4 linked regions of the Arabidopsis thaliana genome follow. The protein of the gene in region 2 interacts with the protein of the main gene of each other region in a pairwise test. Each region holds a gene or a part of one and is shown on either strand. Other genes may lie near its edges. The genes, in order: AT2G32020, VOZ1, AT3G58630 and AT4G26410.

Evidence for each region.
Region 1: the proteins of VOZ1 (region 2) and AT2G32020 interact in a two-hybrid assay, tested with the Arabidopsis thaliana proteins (one large-scale study listed by BioGRID).
Region 3: the proteins of VOZ1 (region 2) and AT3G58630 interact in a two-hybrid assay, tested with the Arabidopsis thaliana proteins (one large-scale study listed by BioGRID).
Region 4: the proteins of VOZ1 (region 2) and AT4G26410 interact in a two-hybrid assay, tested with the Arabidopsis thaliana proteins (one large-scale study listed by BioGRID).

What each region holds. Positions count from the first base shown.
Region 1 is NC_003071.7:13,630,076-13,633,854, forward strand, and holds AT2G32020 (Acyl-CoA N-acyltransferases (NAT) superfamily protein), read right to left. Parts: upstream 1,855-3,779; 5' UTR 1,670-1,854; coding exon 1,118-1,669; 3' UTR 905-1,117; downstream 1-904. Other genes in the region: AT2G32030 (Acyl-CoA N-acyltransferases (NAT) superfamily protein), read right to left, coding at 2,600-3,166.
Region 2 is NC_003070.9:10,026,955-10,032,556, reverse strand, and holds VOZ1 (vascular plant one zinc finger protein), read right to left. Parts: upstream 3,475-5,602; 5' UTR 3,290-3,474; exon of another isoform or gene 2,884-3,289; 5' UTR 2,845-2,883; coding exon 2,614-2,844; intron 2,494-2,613; coding exon 2,344-2,493; intron 2,247-2,343; coding exon 1,730-2,246; intron 1,641-1,729; coding exon 1,078-1,640; 3' UTR 567-1,077; downstream 1-566. Other genes in the region: AT1G28530 (deneddylase), read left to right, coding at 1-8, 91-211, 312-430. UniProt on the Arabidopsis thaliana protein: Transcriptional activator acting positively in the phytochrome B signaling pathway. Functions redundantly with VOZ2 to promote flowering downstream of phytochrome B (phyB). Down-regulates 'FLOWERING LOCUS C' (FLC) and up-regulates 'FLOWERING LOCUS T' (FT).
Region 3 is NC_003074.8:21,682,952-21,688,149, forward strand, and holds AT3G58630 (sequence-specific DNA binding transcription factor), read right to left. Parts: upstream 3,089-5,198; 5' UTR 2,821-3,088; coding exon 1,896-2,820; coding exon of another isoform or gene 1,885-1,895; exon of another isoform or gene 1,018-1,884; coding exon 977-1,017; 3' UTR 975-976; intron 871-974; 3' UTR 579-870; downstream 1-578. Other genes in the region: TTL4 (tetratricopetide-repeat thioredoxin-like 4), read left to right, coding at 1-8; AT3G58640 (Mitogen activated protein kinase kinase kinase-like protein), read right to left, coding at 4,202-4,284, 4,384-4,456, 4,535-4,823, 5,015-5,171.
Region 4 is NC_003075.7:13,344,379-13,349,742, reverse strand, and holds AT4G26410 (chromosome-associated kinesin), read right to left. Parts: upstream 3,090-5,364; 5' UTR 2,984-3,089; coding exon 2,741-2,983; intron 2,249-2,740; coding exon 2,182-2,248; intron 1,966-2,181; coding exon 1,888-1,965; intron 1,756-1,887; coding exon 1,703-1,755; intron 1,591-1,702; coding exon 1,454-1,590; intron 1,367-1,453; coding exon 1,302-1,366; intron 1,187-1,301; coding exon 1,128-1,186; intron 1,042-1,127; coding exon 952-1,041; 3' UTR 606-951; downstream 1-605. Other genes in the region: AT4G26415 (uncharacterized protein), read left to right, coding at 116-605; AT4G26400 (RING/U-box superfamily protein), read left to right, coding at 3,720-4,790; AT4G26390 (Pyruvate kinase family protein), read right to left, coding at 5,325-5,364.

The sequences.
Region 1 (3,779 bases), on a different chromosome or scaffold from region 2:
CTAAAAACATATGTTTAGTGAGCTAGTTAGTAAATGAATCTAATTTTTTTGTTGGTTAACAGAAAATATCACATACTTACATAGTGATTTCAAATACTAATAAATTGTTTCATACTATATGCGTATATCCTATATGGACTGACTGGTCAGACATATTGAACGGAGTGGAGTCTTTATTCACATAACCTAAAAATAACTTTTTTTGATATGCATGTGTATCTATAGGCCAAATATATTTTAGTTCTACCACAGAAGTTAAAATAAATTGTATTAGTAATATATTTAGTCCTTTGAAAGTGGGAAACGAAATTAGCCTCACACAAGCACAGTGATGATTGATTTCTTCTTCTTTTTTTTACCCAAAAAAATCCATTTTTTCTTGTAATTTCTTATTTCCAGATTATTTTCTTCATAACAAAAAAAAAAGAAAAGAAATTGCTCACTTCACTTCTCACTAGATTCTTTATAACGAAACCTCCACTACACGGGCCCTAAATTTGGGCCACATGGGCTTCTCTCTTAACGAATTACGCACGAGTAAACTTCATTTTTCCAACAAGAAGAAGAAACTCAGGGGAATCTAAAGATTGTTTACTTTAATTTAAGAAATATGGAGAAATCATAATAAATTAATTACGTACTACTTATAGTAAATTTGTTGAATTACATAAATTCATAATTCAAATTTTACAAATACTTTTAATATCCTGTGTTATTTTAACAAAGCTGGTCTGGCTCTTAAGTTCTCATCCCAAGGACCATGGGATGTTTTGCTTTTTTTTTCTTTTGCTTGTTGGATGAGTATGTGAACCTTTTTATGGATACAGGACGAATCCCATTGTTTTATTTACATTCTACATTATTCGTTTATACGCTTCTATTAACCTTTGATTTTTAAAACTCTTCTCTACCTATCAATTTGTAATCGGATGATCCCTCTAACCTCACTTCTGTCTCATGCACTGACTTTAATTGTTTCGTAATTTACAATGTAGGATTTATAGATTTTTTTGGCAAATGAAAAACAGAGTGTTTACATCATGTATTACGTATATGAATCATACACTAAATCCAACATATATATGTAGAATTGCTAATTAATCTTTTTGTTGATTAATTACTTCAAAGTATCAGTAGACAAGAAACTAAACATAACAGTGTCTCTTACACTTCCCTTGATACATATAAACTTCCTCATCACACCTTCTCTAGTAAACCCAACTTTTTCAAGAACCCTTTGAGATCCAACATTGTCCACATCAACAAGTGCCTCAAGCCTTTCAATCTCTGGAAATTCCTCGAATACCTCCGCGGTCACTAGCCTCACTGCTTCCGTGGCAAACCCTTTTCCCCAATACTTTCTCGCTAGGACATAACCAATCTCTTTTCTGATGTTATCAACCGCCATGATCAAGATGTAGCCGATTGGACGGTCGTCTTCTAAGCAGATGGCTCGGAGCCAAGGGTGTGTCAGGACACGATCGGTTATGTATTTGATAGCTTCGTCTCGGCTCGTGCAAGGCTCCCAAGTGCAAAATCGAGCCACTTTAGGATCTGTGGCCCAAACCATGTAGTCATCGACGTCGGAAAGAGTCATCGGCCGGAGAGATATTCTTCCCGGAGGCGAAGAGCTCATTATTGGATTAGTTTCTTCTGAGTCCATCTCCATTTAGGATTAGTGATTGTTTTAGATATCATATCACTACGTCTAAGCGATGTCTTTATACACATCGCGATCTTGAAAAACTTTGAGATTCTCCCTTATTGCTTTTGACTAAAAAAACACTAAATATTACCATTTGCTATAGATAAGTGTATTTAGTGTTAAATATACGACATAAGATGAGGTGTCATCGTGTGAGTGGATAATTGTCTATATTTGACCTTGGACTTTCGACACTTACTTGGTTGCCAAACAAAGTATTGTTCTGGTTTCGGAACTTAATGTGTTGCTTCCAGTTGGATGCCCACAATGCCACGTGTCAAATCGTGTGTGGTCTGATTCCCAAAAAGGATTTAACTGTTTCTCAAGTTATTCTAAATGGATTAAATATTTTAATACTGTTAATATTTGTGGTGCAAATGATCGTAATCGTTTGTTATATACTGTCAAAATCAACTCAAGAATCAAGTCACTCAACATGTTGTATGATTAAGTAATTTAGCTAAAGATTAATTAATCGAATGTTATCAGAATTCCATTCATCTATCGCTGTAAAACTAGCTATCACACTATCTTTTTATTGTATAAAATATTTCATGTTTAGATTCAAAAAGAAAATATATATATATATATCATGTTTCATTTTGTACTTTTAATTTTCAATATAAACTTACATTTTTTCTGAGATAGTGAAGCTTTGTTTTATTTGGTGAAGTGAACATGGTAAATAGTAAATACATTACTCTCAAATTATAAAAAATAACTTTTGTATGAAATAGTTAATATATAAGGTTACAACTAACAATTACATAAGAAGAAGAAAGATAGAGCATCACATCAAATTATACATGTGATTTTTACAAACTAAGCAAAATATAAATTTCGACATCAAACAAACTTAATATATATATTTGATATTTGTTAATTCAAATCAGATCAGTGCAACGAATCAGAAGGCAAGAAACTAAACATGACCATATCTCTAACATTTCCTTTAAGATACATAAATTTCCTCATCACACCTTCTTTCACAAACCCAACTTTTTCAAGAACCTTTTGAGATCCAACATTGTCAACGTCAACAAGTGCCTCAAGCCTCTGCATCTCTGGCTTCTCCTTGAATATCTCCCCCGCCACAAGCCTCACCGCTTCAGTGGCGATCCCTTTCCCCCAATACTTGCTTCCGAGGACATAACCAATCTCTCCTCTGATCTCATCGACTGGCGTTACGGAGATCGAGCCAATCGGACGGTCGTTATCTAAGCATATAGCTCTAAGCCAAGGGTGTGGCAAAAGAGCGTCGTTTAAGTACGCGATCGCGGCTTCTCGGCTAGTGTAAGGCTCCCACGTGCAAAAGCGTGTGACGTTTGAGTCAGTGGCCCAAACCATGAAATCGTCGACGTCGGAAAGAGTCATTGGCCGGAGATGGATTTTCTCCGGAGGTGAGGAACTCACGGTGGATAGGGTCTCCGGTTTGATCGTAGTAGTTGAGTCCATCTCCATTGACTTTTTCTTGGTTACTTTCCTTTTTGAGTCTTTGAAGCTTCTTTGGGATTCTTTAAAATAAATTATCTCTCTCAATTCTTACAGATTTGTGTAGAGGCATTATGATAATACTTCTTCTACAAATCACGATTTAAATACTGATTTTTTTTTAACAAAAAAGAAAATAAACAGAACGTTCCTTCTTGCTTCGATCGGTCAAATACGCAACAATTAGTTCTTGTTGAATGGAAGGTGTGAAAAAGACGGTTTATAATGGGTATGGGTGAACCGTATATTTACCATCCATTCATCGTTTTTGATTTAAAAGAGGTATATTCAATCTAGTATTTAAAGTGACTTTCGTAAATTTTACAAGTATATGTTATTTAATTATGGATTTTGAAAATTCTAATGAAATCTAGTGTTATTAAAATAATAATTTAAAAATCTACCTTTAAATTCACTGTTATTAAAAATAATTTATGGATTTGATTTTTATAAGAATGTATTCAATCTAATATTTTAAGTGATTTGTGTAAAATTTATAAATTCTATGTTGTTCGATTATGGATTTGAAAAACTTTAATGAAATCTAGTATTATTGAACTAAAGATTTAAAATTCTATCTTAA
Region 2 (5,602 bases):
CTTACCAGGTAATTCCAGTGAATTATGATGAATTGAATTCTTTTAAGTGGACTACTACTTCATCTTCGTCTGGTTCTTTAATGGAAGCAGGTAGTTTTATCATCCGAAGGTAAAATCATAGGGTTCCAACCGACAAGCCGGGTGGCTGTGAATCACTGGGCTGCTAATCCTTTAGCTAGAGAACTTTATGGAGGAAAAAAACTCAAGCCTGGTAACACACCATGGTTCTTCTTTCAATTCCTTAAATTCAATGCTATTCGTATCCTTTTAAGTTTATCTGATTATGTGTTGTGTCATTCTTTGCTTTGCAGGGCTGATTGAGCCTGGTCTTAAGAGTCACCCTCCCAAAAAAGTAGTTGTGTTGGAATTATTAATGTCTGTGAATTCAGATCGTCCTTTTGCATTGGTCAGACCATTATTGCCACAATAAGCATAGCGAAGTTCCTGTCTCTCTTTAGATGAATTTTAGTACAATATATGTAGAATATGATTTGATTGATTGCTTGTAACACTTGGCGTCTATGATATGCAAATATCTTAAGAAGAGTGAGAACGTGATTACATGATTCTTGAAACGATGCTTAAGATTTTGAAGCTCTGCAGAGAATTTTTATTAACAAAACCCCAAATCTGAAACATAGACTAAGTAAGAGCAATGATCTCATTGAACAAGGTCCTGATTCTATAAGAACAACACTGATACTCAAAACCGTATTTCCCCATCGGTTACATAATTTGTCATCTGCATTATATCGCAGAAGAGAGTCGAAAATGCATCAAAATATATAAACCGGAATGTCAGTAAATATGTCTTCACCTCCATAGACTGAATCTTAAAAAGCAGTCTCCTTCGTCACATTTACTATTCCTAACTCCAGGACAGTCTTCAGCATCCACTTCTTGTTATATATACATAATCTCCATAGATAGACAGAGAACTATTATATAAGAGAAAAAAAAGATACGAGTCATGAAAATCCATTACTTTGCCCTACGATATGTAGAAGCTTCTTCTGCTGCTGCCTAATTAAATGGTAAGCAAACAGCTTTTTAAACCTGAGTTTTTCCACATTCGTCTCAGGGGATATAATAGTCGCTTAGATTTCCGACCAGATAGTTAAACTCTTCACCTACTCCATAGTCATTTGCCTGCTCTACTGTGTTCTGAACATTCCCGGTGGCGACTTTTGTGCTCACTTTTGGTCTTCCTTTGATGCAGCGTTTGTTGTTGTTGGTGGTGTTAGTGGTATTGTTTTCTGGAGGGAACTCAGCTGTGAGTCTTCCCATCTGCTTCTGCAGATCAGCCACTGAGTCGTTTGAGACTTTGCCTTTTGAAGTCTTCTTCCCGTCAACAAGCTTGAGCTCGAGCCTGTACAAGGCACAAGCATCACACTTGTTGATCTCATATTCGTAAAGATGCCATTCGAAATGGTGCAGAGGCTGTGGATCCATGTAGTAAGATCTCTTCAGCCCTCCAAACTCGACCATGATCTGTTTACGTGACTCGTGCCAACCACGACCATTGTAGTCTGGTAAAGATCTTTGCTTTCTGTTCCCGCTCTCAAAGGCCCTCCTTGGCTTGTCAAAGAATAGCCACTCCCTTAGTGTCTCACTCTCCAGAACCGTGAGATCAAAGAGCTCTACAGTCATCAAGATTTGAGTATGATCAGCTCAAGAATGGTGATCAATTAACATACTTGTGAATGAATTCCAAGAGAGTAAAGCCTACCTGGAGCATTCCATGGAGATTTAGCAGTTGCAGCTCCTTCACATTCGGGAATACCAACATCTTTCCCTCCAGCCTTTGCACTAAGAGCAGCAAAAAGCAGACCGTCTTTTAGGCCGATACCTCCAGGACGCACCACCGGATTCATACCTGGTGGCCCTTCATTGAAAGCCAGTGCAGCGTGGAAGCTGCTGCAGTAATCCTGGAACCAATCAAATCCCTGAGCTGGCCTAGGGCAATCCCAAAGAGCACATTTTGGACCCAAGAATGCAGAGGGTGGAGGACAAATAGTCGGGATAAAATTAGAGATATGTATAGGACCCTCTACTACACCATAACTGGGACAATTGTTGAAACCACCATTGAAGTTTGGTTCAAACTCTTGTTGCAGATCATACTGCTGATGATACTCCAAAGGAGCCGTTCCATCGAAATTGTTACCAGCTGCTAAGGACAAATCTTTGCAATTATCAACCAATGGTAATCCATGTTCTGACTTCCCCTGAACCAAATTGTATCCCTGAAAACTTTCACCACGATCTCAGTATTTAAACAAAATAATGGACTCCAAACACAACTAAAGCACCATTAAAAACTGGTTCTAAAGAGCAACTCACCCTTTGGAAGACAGCAGCTTTGCCAGCTTCGAGATTCTGATCAGCAGGCTCGGGCTTGGGGGCAGCTAATTTGCTGGTAGCATCATCTTCCTCATCACAGAGCTGCAGCAGCCGACAAATATCTGATGAGAAAGACCCCAGAGTACCACCCTGCTTAAGCAAAACAAAATGACACAGCTAACAATGACTGAAACAACAAAGAAAACTAAATCACCCATGCAAGTCAGAAGAAACAACAAGATTGCAAATTTGAAACAAACGAAAGCATACTTGTTGCAAGGATGAAGCTGGAGAAGGCTCATTGAGCTCAGATTTCCACTCACGAAGCATCTGATTCACTTGCTCCTCAAGAAGAGTAACATCAGTAGGCCTACTCTCTTTCCTCGCAAACTGAAGATCCAAAAGCATGCCTTGCAAATCATCAACACGGTTCTTAGCCTTATCCTTGAAGAGCTTGTGAGAAGCAGATCTGCAATTAGTCTTTGATCGCTTCCCCGTCATAAGAAATCTCACCTCCCCACCACAAAAACACAAGATTCTCTGTACAAAACCAAAAACACATTCAAAATACACACTTCACATCAGTTCTGCTCCTATAACAAACATGATCACTCATGAATCATTGGTACATGCTTAGATTACATAAACAAAACCAAAACATTTACAGTAAATCAAAACCCAAAATCGATGAAGCAACAAAAGCCCTAGATGATCTCGAACGAAGTAGCTAAACGAAGATTAAAAGGATCATAAGTTTTAGGGATCGTCATTTTTTTACCTAATTGTCGAACTAAACAAGCAGCAAAAAACAGGTTACGAACACGAAATTGAATCATGCACAGAGTTAAAAAGAACAACAGATCGAAGTAACAAGAACAAATCGATTCTGAAGCAAAAAGCGACGCGAGATTTTGGAGTTTGAAGGAACCCAGAAAATCAAACTTACACTGTAGCTGCAGCAAAAGCAGCAAATAACAAAGGCAAAGAGAAAAATCTCCGGAAAATAAAAAGAAGAGTAATGAAGAAATGGAGAGAGTAAAAATTATGAATAAATAAAAAGAGAGAGATTATGAAGAAAAAAAAACACAAAGGAAATAAAGAAACGTTGCTGGATTCTCTTCTTCTCTTCACCCTCCACTTTTCTTTTTCCTTTTTTATGAGCTAAATTCAATGTACTAATTTATGAGAAAATATAAAAATTTAAAAATTATCAAATTGTGGGGAAATGTTTAAGGAATTTAATGATTATTTTGGAAAAAAATGCCATTTGGACTGTTTATTATGGATTCTTTTCTTTTTATTGTTCATTTTTTCTCTTTATAGCATTTATTTATATTAAGAAATATTAAATGAGCATTTAAAATTTACTATTTGTTGTGTAAATAATCTTTTTTTTTTGTTTTGTTTTCTAAACTAACCAGAGTTCAATTATGTTTTTTTTTTTTTTTTGTTGCACATATGCTTTAGAAAATTAGGCATTTTCTTCAATGCTATTGGCTCCATACACTACTTGCTCCTTATTTGAGGAAATTTAAATACTATTTGAGTTAGAAATTTAAGTTTTTCTTTAGACTATGTAATACATTAGGGAAGTCGCCAAGAATTTTTCCAAAATCAGAGTTTGGGTCACACGATTTGTAAGATATAATATAACCATGCGAATATGCGATGATAGAATTCAAGATAGGCTAAAGCTAAGCAAATTTTATACATACGAGAAAATTAAAACAAATACCAAACAAAAAAGTGTAAAAAAAGGCTTTGAAATTAAAACTACCATCCATTTTAGGGATGGAACATTTGCAAATATTAGAAAATGTTAAGACTAATGTAGTAACGCTAAAATTTGTGACATTGTATGATCATCGGGTTTAGTCCAAGTTAATGTGTATGGAGGGGAGTGGTTTGCAACTTTGCGTAGCTGTACTTGTAGTCGTAGGAAAAAAAAACTAAAAAACGATTCATGATAACATTTCTTTCGAGAATGTATATTTTGTTGATAAATTGACATAGACTTTATGATAGCATCGTAGTAGAACCACGTTAAAGATTTTGATTCAACGGCTAATTAGTGCTCAAGTCTACGACTACATGTAACGTAATTTGATAATAAAAAAGGAATATTGGAAATGTAACGTATTATATTTTCAAGATAAGTCAATTAGATTGATAACCGTAATTTTGGTTGCGCTTGACAATTGGTCATTTCTTAAAATAATTTGGACCCATTTGTTTTCTTATATCCTTTCAATGAGTTTTAACAATGAGATTGTTTGTACCTAATGTAAATTTGCATTACTTTTGGAGGAAAAAACAAACAAGCATAACAAAGGAATCTTGGGTAAAGAATTTGGACAAGTGTCGTGAATACTAAGTTATTATTATTTTCTTTTAAGATACAAGAAGGTGTAAAAGAAGGAGATATTGGCAAGGAAGGAATATAACTTAGCTTTTCTCCACTATGTTTTCCATATTCCTATCTTGTGATGCTCATCAATTTTCATCATACCATCTACTTTCAATTTCTTCAATGGTCATATTCTATCGTTCTTTATCTATTATTGCTTATTATTCTCATTTCAAATACATAATGTTCGTCGTATGAACTCTAAAAAAATATTCAAATTCAACTTTTAACTAGGTTATAAGAAATAATATCTCCACTAATTTTAAACAACCAATTCTTGACTGAGTACGATTATATATTAATCACAGTTAAACAGCCAATTATTGACAATATTTTCTTTGAGTATGCACCTTACATCTTATATATCCCTGGTTGGAATATAGATCGGTCCACCACTACACTTTATCTTTGATCCGGACCAAATTAGTGACAGTGGAGAAGTTTTTTTCCTTCTTTTTCTTTTCTTTAAGGTCTCCAAGGTGAATTCAATGTCACCATAATAGATTTCTATATCATATGTGACAAAACATCCAACTCAAATTCAAAATAAGCTAGGGATAAGAGTGGCTCAACTAGATGATGCTTAACGTCGAGCCCATACTTTAATGGTAGAAGAAAGCATGTATCCCATGTTGGAAAAAACGAACAAAATGATGTTTATCAAATTGTTACACTCTCGAGGTTAAATTATCTACGAAAATTGTATGCTTCGAAGAACATCACCATAACGATTTAACCGTCTGGTAAATTCGAAAATTTGTCCCGAATAAATATACTTAACTACTTATTACTAATGTGTGTAAATTTTTTATTCTTAAATCTCTCAAATGGGATAAATTTAGACTATGATCA
Region 3 (5,198 bases), on a different chromosome or scaffold from region 2:
TCTTATAACATATCTCTCTTCTCATTCTTTCAAATCTTTAGTCTTCACGAACGTAAATTGATTCAAAGAGCCATTTTGTTAATTGAAATTTTCATTCTTTTGTTTTGCTTTACTGTATTATCATATTGAAACCTGCTCCGATTGTATTAATCCGAGGAAAATGCATGTTTCTCAATTATCGTTCATGCAAAAAGGCCCCAATTTAATGGTTCATTTGGTTTTCTTATTTTTGTTTGTTTTAGAAACTCTTACTTATTACAAATGGGTCCTGGTGGGCTGGGTTACTTGTAATAACACTGCTTTCAATAAAATATCCATTGACAAATAAACTATAGTTTCATAGAAGGAATTTGAGGCGCCAATACAGAACACAAACTATGACAAAGTCTCAATGAGAGCAAAAATGATTTGCCTCACATTTTGGGCAAAGGTTATGAATCTCAAGTTCTTAACATTTCATATTAAAGTCTCTTAAACTTAACATGTTATGGAGTTGAGAACTTGAGATTTGTAATAGATAAATAATGAATTACTAGGATATAGCGGTATATCCCTGAAGATTTTTTTTTTATTTTCCACCTCATTAAATCATAAATTAGAACACAAACTAAGAAATACCAAACAATACTAACCAATATAATTTTGCTGAAAACTGTTTCTTGTACTGTTTCATTGTGTAGATATACCAATATAACGTCACCAATTTTTTTTTCAATCCTGGGTTGGAATCGGAATCTTCTAAAAGGGTTAAAATTTACAAAACAAAGAGAAACTCATGTTTCTTTGTTACCATATCTTCTATTGGTTGGTGGAAGAACGCTGACTTTCTCTCATCTTCATCAAAATGGCTACAATCACAAACTCATGATGCTGCAAACAAAACCAACGACTTAGCCCAACAAGTCTACACATTTTGTACATAGGCAAAGTTTTGATCGACTAGGGAGTTTTAAATATAAATAAAGGAGTCGTACCTCTAGAAGTAACTAGGGAAATCCATCATCCCATAATCAAGAGCTGCATAAACAGAAAAAGTTCACTTATTATTCATACATAGACCTGCTGCTGATAATTTGTTCTAGTGGTCAAACATGTAATGCAAAGAGGAATTCATCAAATTAGCAGGTGACTAACAAGTAAAGAAATATGGACCAAGCGAAAACGAAAGAAACAAATGTCTGTCGTGTAATGCCATAGCCAAGTTGCAGGAAAGATTTGATGCATCCAAAAAAAAATCAAATTTTGTCTCCTGAGACTATATGTCAGAAACTAATGGTTGATGCATCCGAAAAATCCTTCCACATATCATGCATTCTCTTTTCAAACATCCATACCCATTATTTCCTAACTTTCGAAGCAGTTAGCATGTAAACTCACAATCTTCTCAATCAACTAACCAACAAAAAGGCTACTCTACACTCAAAACTTACTGGGCATCACACTCAAAACACTTCACAAAGCACTCATGCTTAACAACAAACAGAAGCAGATTCAAGTTTCTAGCTCATGAACTGCTTCCCAACTAATGCTCACATCAGTCATTGTAGAAAAACTTTCCACACTCAGACTATAATTACAAGAAACACAAGTAACAAAGCAACAACATCTAGGAGAAAAATGTAACCAGGACCTCCTCCTTACCATGAATACCAATACTTGCTACTAATTAGTTTATTTTTGTTCAGATTCATCATCTCTGTGCGATATCAATTTGTTCTTGTACTTTGATTGGGTTTATTATAGCCGTCGTTGGCACAGAGACTATCACAAGTAAAAAGGTAAAATTTGTTTCTACTCTTATGCTATAGTCACTGTTACACAGCTAAACAATGGAGAAAGACATAGAATTCTGAACAGATTACGAAATACGGCGAGAGAAAGGATTCAGGTCTCACCGGCGGAGGCGGAGGAAGTCGGTCCTTTGGAGCCAGAGGTACGCCGGAGCTTATGAAGACGTACCTGCATCTCCGTGAACAGTTGCATCCTATGGCATTCCAATTCCTTAGCGAATCTCATTCTCTGCTTCTCCAATTCAACCATTTCCTTCCTCTTCTTCTCCTCGACTCTCTCGTATATCTGTCCAAGCCTCTCAATTGCGTCGGCAACTTCCTTGTAGCCTTGCTTCTTCTCAATTTTCCTCTCCCGCTTCTTGTTACTCCCGCTACGACCGCTCGATCTAGACCTTGAACCTTCCGAGTCATCTTCAGACGCCGGACACGCCGCCGCCGCTGCGGCTGCCGCGAATGCGTTGAGATTCCCGCGAAATCCGAGTAAATCGTCACCGGCGTGAGGTATAATCGCCGGCGATGTCGCCGGACGTCTGGGGATCGCCGATCGTGGAGCGACCGGAACTGGATTAATGGACATCGGAAGTGATAGCCTCTGGTGCGGGATGTTATCAGTTGAATCAGGATTACTAGACGTCGGAAAGCTTTCCCGGAGAAGGTCATCGAGAGCGGAGAAGAAAGGCCAAGGGCTGATGTAGGCACCGGGATTGGATTCCGAAACCCTAGCCTTCTCGACTTTGTACTTCTTCTTCAGAGTATCGATCCGGTTTTTACACTGAACGTCGGTGCGATACGGCTGCGATTTGGCGGCGGAAACGTTTCGACCGGTGTTGTAGTGACGGTCGTTAACGGCGTTAGCCACCTCTTGCCAGTGTTTCTGACGGAGATTACCTCGGCTGAGGTCGACGTAGCGATTACCCCAGGCTTGGATGAGCGTGAAGGTCGCTTCCTCGCTCCAGCAATCTTCACGAGAAAGCGTCGCCGGCGAAGGTCGGGAAGATCCCGGCGAAAAGGAATCGTTGACGGTGTCCATTATAAGGTGAACGACGGCGAGTTAGATCGAAGAAGATGAACGGTGAGGATGAGATAAACGGAGGTGAACGGTGACAGTGACGGTAACGGAATTGAAGAGAAACGAAGTTCTTTTTTTTTAAAAAGACAAACCAGCGTTTTTGCTTTGTGTGCATGTACTAAACCGTGAGCCAGACTAAACGAGCCAGCTCTAGCTAATTTATATACATCGTTAATTTGGTTTTTATTTTTTAACAGCTAAAACGTTTTAATTTTTATTTTATTTTGTTAATGTTGACTACCGAACAAGATAATATTTCTCTATATTTTTTTTTCTTACAAAAGCTTTAAATATTCATTTTAATATGCAATTTGATAAGTCTAAAGTTAATTAGTAATATTATGTGTGGTAGTTCTAATTAAATTTCATTATGAATCGTTGGTAATATATTTTTTTTTTGGGTGAATCGTTGGTAATATAATATGTAAGTTTTGGTTGATATTTTCCTTTTTTTTTGTTGTCTAACTTAATTAGAATATGATAACGGTTCCAAATGAATTGGTATCACATCCTAAATAGTATGTAATTGACAAATTTATAGCATGGTGAAATTTCTGAAACTGTAGATTGTAGAGAAAAATCAAAGCTAATTAAAAAATCGGATATGGCTCGTTAGATGTTTGGTTTAGTTTCCGTAAAATGTAATGATAGTACTGCCAAGTAGAATATGATCAAACGATCTATTTTTGTAAGTTAATGACACATTGCTATATTAGAATAAGTTATTCTAAGTTTTGTGTGTTTAGGTGATAAGCTAAATGGGTAACGCGAACTACTAGTATCGTTGTTATATCACCGAATTTAAACTCGGTACTAGAATGTATGTTGTTGTCAAATAGGTAATGACAAATTACGGCTACGAACATAAAATCGTTTTTTCTTTAAATAACTAGAAGTTCTGCAAAAACTGTAGTTTGCTCTTTTTTCTTTGTCAATCAAAGCTCCTTTTCATTTCTTAAGGCACGAAATATAAACGAAAAGTACATGTATTTGTCCGTAATTTTCTTATAGCAAATGCAAAGCAGGGAACAAACCTTATGGTACGAAAAAGAGTAGCAAGCTTGATCATTTAAACTGAAAGAATGAGCAACTCTTCTCACCTTTTGTAAAATTTATAAGACTTACTTTTTTGTTTCAGAGGTTTTGAAATTTACGAATTTGCAAATGATTAAACGGAAAAGAGTTCCACAAAGCTTTTTGTGGATGTGAAAGCGCCAAAGTTCTTTTGTACAAACTCAAAGGAGAAAGCCAACAATATTCAAAAAAAAGAAACGAAGAAAACAAAAACCTCTCTCGCTGCAAAGTTTTATATTCACAGAAGGAAAATATGATTGAGAGAAAGTTAGCAAAGCGAATACTCACAATCCAGCAAACGAGAGAGTATCTCATTGCAACTCGGTCTTTGTTCCGGTTCTGTCCAACAATCTGCGAACAAGAGACAACACATCAGAAAAGGATACTCCATAAACCCCAAACAAAGCTTCAGGAAAAACGAAATAACAACACTTTGACAAGTCACAAGACCTGCAATAAGCTTTCCCAGTGGTCCTTCAGGAATCTCAAGCCGAGCTCCCTCGTAAGCAATAGCATAAACAACCTGAGAAGAAATATGAGGAAACTTGTTATATATACACATATGTCACTAAAGAGTCTTCTTCTTGTTCAGTTAAGTTACCCGTTCAGGCGGTACTCCTTCCCAAGGTCTGGTTAAAGTGCATAGCTCCCACATTATTACACCTAAACTGAAGATATCACACTTTTCTGAGAAGGGCTCATTGCGGATAAGTTCAGGAGCCATCCACTCTGGAGTTCCTGCAGAGACTGTGTCTCTCATTGTTGTCCCTGTCATTATTCTCGACAGCCCAAAATCACAGATCTTGACTGTCCATTTGTTGCTCAAAAGACAGTTTGCACTCTTTATATCACGGTGTACTATCCCCATCCGGTGTATACACATCAATCCCCTAGCAACATTTTACAAGTTTAAACGCTGTTTGTTAATTAAAGATGATTACGAAACTTTCTCATCGAGACACAATTCCAGGTCCTATTTGGAAGTGTTATTGCCTTCTCCTCAAACCAAAATTTTCCATATTAATACTACATACTATGTTGGAAAGAAGGATACACGGTTTTGTATGGAAGATGAAATTACCTGCAAATGTCCCGCAGCATCTTTAGCTTCCTCCGCCAGCTTAACCTCTTTTTTTGTCCACTCAAGTGGAGCAAGTAATACAAAGATCCCATTTCCATGTACTCAGTGATCAGTGATAATCGTGGAGGCTTTGTGCATGCTCCAAGGAACAGTATAACTACAAGAAGTCGAAGATGCATGCATT
Region 4 (5,364 bases), on a different chromosome or scaffold from region 2:
TACTGGTGAAATCTGTAGTGATATTTAAGGAATTACCGGAAGAAACAGAAATAATTTTATTGTGTATGATACTATGATCAATACTAATATCAACTTCTGTTTGTCTGCCGTTAAGGTCAGCAAGGAACGCGTTGAATCAGTACCCACGTTTCTCACTGGACGGTAAGGACGCTATGTACCGGTCATCCTTCCGGCGCCATCTTGGCACCAGTGCTGACATGACGATACAGGGTGGGCGGAGATCCCACTGCGGGGATCAACGGACATCAAAGAGATCGAGCCAGATGAGCTTGGAGACAAAACGCCTGCCACGGACAGTGGCCGGAGAGAGTGTGGTATGGTGCAAGACGGGGGTTGTTGCAAAGCTGATGGGTCTGGAGATGATACCTGTTCCGGACAAGGGAAAATCGGGAAAAGATAAGTTAGGGACTCTGCTCAAGAGGGAGCGTCTAAGGAGGAGAGAACGGACTCTGGACGTTAATGGTCGGACCGGTCCGACGACTGAAGCTTCTTGCTCGTCTGGAGGGTTTAACATTACTAGACCAATCGGAGCAGTTGGGTCGCCTAGTCGCATGGGTGGATGGCCCACAGCCCGTCTCCCATAGACTTACGATGCAAAACTAGCCCATTAAAAACCTTCATGTTATCTATAAATTTTCATTACTGATTGATTCAGTAACTTTCTATGTTTCTCATAAATCTTCTAGACTACATAATTAAGGATTTCCAAACCAAGCACACACATTTTTGTGACTCAATTAATTCTCTCTGAGCGAGAAATCTTAGGAAGCAGGCAAAAACACAGTATACAAGTTCTGTCTCAAGCTCAGATTTTGGTTTCAGACAGAGTTGGATGTTCGATGGACGAGAGTACACTGCGATTCAATTGGAAAATACCTAACAAACTTTGGTTGCGAAAACCCAAGAAATTGTGGATTTGTGTTGGATATATCAGACGGAAACTCCTAGGTCCGACATACCCATGATCCTTTTGTTCAATGCAATCCTCTTCTGTCTCAAAAGCGAAGTCATGGAAGCCACCTAATGATTTACGACAAAAGAATTTAATGAGACGTTCATAGCAATGAAGCTCAAACAATGGGCGAGAAGAAAAAAGTCAGACTCACTTCAGCTCTAAGCTTGATAGCATCCCTTCCAGGAATTTGCCGAAGTCCGTCCATCAAATCTGCAGCGAATAGAACTCTTTGTGTAAGTTGAAATCTGACGTAGTGGCATTATCAAAGATACCATTTGAAGGGAGAAGGGAGAAGTGAGTAAAAATAAATCTTGTTCAAGATTACCAGCAGCTTCACATTCAGCTTTGTGGACGGACTTAGCAAGACGATGTATATCGTTTCCAGAGTTCCTATAGATATAACAGTAGTACCCATATTAACATAAATGATGTCAATAACTTAATAAAAGAAGTGGGAGCGTCCATGTTGGGGCATACATGAGCTCAGAGAGACCACGTTTCATATCCTTCTCTGCTAAAGCCGTCCTCTCAAGCAATTTCCTGCTCTCCTTTTTCATCAAGTCTACAGACATGTTTAACTCCTGAACATGCTTCTCAGCTTTCAAGAATTGTGCCTGAAGCGACGATGATTTTGAAGTGGATGTAAAAATAAGGGAAGGGACACAGACCAGGGCAACTAAGCATAACAACGTTAAGAAATAAATTTGAAGCTGGTATAGTATATACCTCTTCGCTCTGAAATCGGCCTAGTGTATTACGAAACAAGAATCTTCTTGGGCCTGTAAGTCGAACAATAGAAAACCAAATTCATACAAGACACATATAAGTAAAACAGATGTAATACCATTTGGATGCTCCTACGGGAAGGAATCTTGTAAGTTGTAAAAGTGATAAGAGAGTAGAGGTTATACCTCGCATCAGAACGAGACTAGCAGCGACACCAATCCCAATAGCAGCAGCCGGATGCTCTTTTGCGTATATCAATTCGTCTGCGAGGATAACAAAAGCAGCAGAGGATACGAGGATTGATTAATCGGAATGACATGAAGATTCTAGTTTCAGAACACTATAAGATGCACTACAAGTATATATAAAAGTTTTGTGGCAGCTATCTGTTATATCTCAGTTTGATCTAAAATACTCGTTCCTAAGCATTACAGTAGTCTACCAGTATAACTTTTTCACGAAAATTGGCTGCAAGATACCTGTAACTTTACTGAAGAAAGCATTCTCATAGGTCTTATACTGAGTCAAAGCATGTGGAATGAAATCCTGCAATTTCAGAATCAAATGTAAGATTGTATGAGAGAAGACGAAGACATATACATACATCTAATGGAACTGTGATTTCAGCCAGATAGGGTCTACTCCATATCACACATCATTAAGCTACATGAATATCTGATATCATATAAAAACATTGTTTAGAGAATAATCAAGAATGCCTCAGCGATACATTACAGTCTTCTAAACAACCATTTGAAGCAGAATCAGAACCCAGGAAGAGACTAAGATCATTGCCAATAAGTTATAATGGTATGATTCAACAAGATTTTACCCATATGAACAAAAACTAGCACCATTCAATACATAAAACTGCTAATTGGAGAAATATCTGTTCTGAATCGAGCTCATTTCTAGAAATTATAGCTTACGAGATACTAAATTCCACCATATCCATGGTTTGAAATCCTGAAAATGTTTTTTGGTAAACAATCTCGATTCGCAAAAATTGTTTGGTGAACAAAAGAGAGATTAACTAACCTGTATAGAGCGGAACTGAGAGGTAGAATTTTCACGGAGGGAACGAGCAGAACGCATTGCGGTATCCTTCGATTCCTTCACCGTCCGTTGCAAATCACCCACCCATTTCTCTGCTCCTTCTATGGCTCCTTCCACCGATTCAACCACTCCGATCGCTGTATGCTCCATCGCATCAGAAACAGTTTCAGTCTCAATCGCTGGAGCCGAATCATCGGTAACGCCGGTTGCTTCGGTTTCGCTCATCGTCTCCGATTTGCCTTTCTCGCACGGAGACAACGCCTTTTCTCCTTCTTTCAACTTCAACCGGTTCGATTCGGTTCAATTTGATTCCAAATTAGAAGTTGGTTTTAAATGGTTAAGATAGACCCGGCTCCTTTATATATCAGTTTGCGGTTAATGGGCTTTAAGATTGGGTCTGCGAACTATACATTACATTCCCTTTTCTTCGTCTTCATCTTCGTCTTCCTTTCCTCCTTCATTCCTCTTTTCTTCGTCTCCCACCATTTCTGCAGAAGAAGACAAATAAAAAAGCTCTCATTTATCTTCGTGGAGATCTAAAAGAAGGAGGAAGACATTTCTTCCCTCTGGATCTCCAAAAGTAAGAACATTTACAAGGTTTGTTTTTGTATTTGTTTTGTTTTAATTACTCCATGAGAATTGAGAGTTTTCTTTTCATGGATTAGCCCTGATTTCTATTGTTATCTCTTTATAGAGGCAAATTTTGGTTGATCTGTTTATTCGCATTTGCATAGAAAGCTTGCGTTTTGTTGTCTGAAACTTGAGCTAATGATGTTGGTGAAGATGATATTATCCTCTTTTTAGTGAAACTTTTGGGAATACCATTCTCTTTATTTAGATCTGATGAAACAAAGGTCGAAACTTTATAGGTTTGCTTCTTCATGTTTTTTTTTTTGTTGTTCTTCTGGTTGTTTCAGAAACGAGAGGTTTGGGTGGGGAAGGAAAGAAGGAGGAAGAGGCAATGTCAGCTAGGTATTGGTGTCACATGTGTTCACAAATGGTGAATCCAGTTATTGGTGCCGAGATCAAATGCCCCTTTTGCCAAAGCGGGTTTGTCGAGGAAATGAGCCGTGAGATTAATGGCGGCAGCAGTAGCAGTCTAAGGGAGGTTCAAGACCCTGAGATTGATTTTGGTACAGACCGTGCATTGTCTCTATGGGGTCCAATCTTGCTTGGAATGATGAGTAATCCTCGTAGACGTAGAAGGTTTAGGAGGACAGAGTTTGGTGTGGATAATGATGAGGTCAATGTATCTGATGATGTTGATGGAAATGACAGCGTCGATATTGATCGACATCATCATCGTCGTCATCGCCACAGGCAACAAGGTAGAGAGATTGATTTAGACAGAGAGTTTGAGTCTATCCTTAGGAGGAGACGGAGAAGCTCAGCTACTATATTGCAGTTGCTTCAGGGTATTCGTGCAGGGATTGCTTCTGAGTATGAGAGCTCGGATCGAGACCTGTTAAATCAATCAGCTGTTGTTCAGGGTTCAACGAGTTTGAATCAAAACCGGAACAATACTTCTCTTTCTGCAATTGGAGATTACTTTGTTGGATCCAGTTTAGACCATTTGCTTGAACATCTAGCTGATAATGATTCAATCAGGCACGGGAGTCTTCCAGCACGTAAAGAAGTTGTGGATAATCTCCCAACGGTTAAGATAAGTGAATCATTGCAGTGCTCGATTTGTTTGGATGATTTTGACAAAGGAAGTGAAGCTAAAGAGATGCCGTGTAAGCACAAGTTTCACATCCGGTGTATAGTACCGTGGCTCGAGCTTCACAGTTCATGTCCCGTGTGCCGATATGAACTCCCTCCTGATGATGAGACCAAGGTTAATCCTGTAAGACCGAGAACAAGAACTCTAGAGATCAACGTAAGTAATGAGAATGTGGAAGATGATGCAAGGAACAGTAATGTGAGCGAGAGAAGGTTCTCTTTTCCATGGCCGTTCAGCGGATTATTCTCTTCATCCTCTTCGTCATCCGCATCGGCCTCGGGGTCATCTCATCTCGGTGAGAACTCGTAAACTGCTATTCCTCAGCTTATAGTACATAAAATCTTGTTCACTCAGATTGTTGAATACTGCATAACAAATAAACACTTTCGAGGAATGGAATCTTTTCTTTATTTGTATTATAATATCTGATGATCATTTGGGTTTCCGTTAAAAGTATCCCTTTTAATTTAGTAAAATATAAAAAGATGAACACAGGTATTTATGTTGAGAGGGAGAGGCATGTGACTGTGAGTATGGTTGTTGACTGCATGAATCGCATTATCTCCAAATACGAATCCCAAAGTTGTGTGATCACGAGCCAAATGTGATCACACATTTTTGTAAAATATATTCAAAAAATAGTCTTTGTTTATGCAATTGCACTCGTACCAAACTAATGTACTTGTAACCAGAGTATGATCCAAGAACATTATGTAGTGTGTGGGAGCCACACACAAAAAAAGAAACAAAAGAGACTTTGAGTTTCATCTCAAGATTAGTCACCATGATGAATAAACATCCAAAACGCTAAGAAACACCGGCAAAACTCAAACGCAAATGGGATCACTTGACGGTCAAGATCTTGATAACAATAGCGTTACCT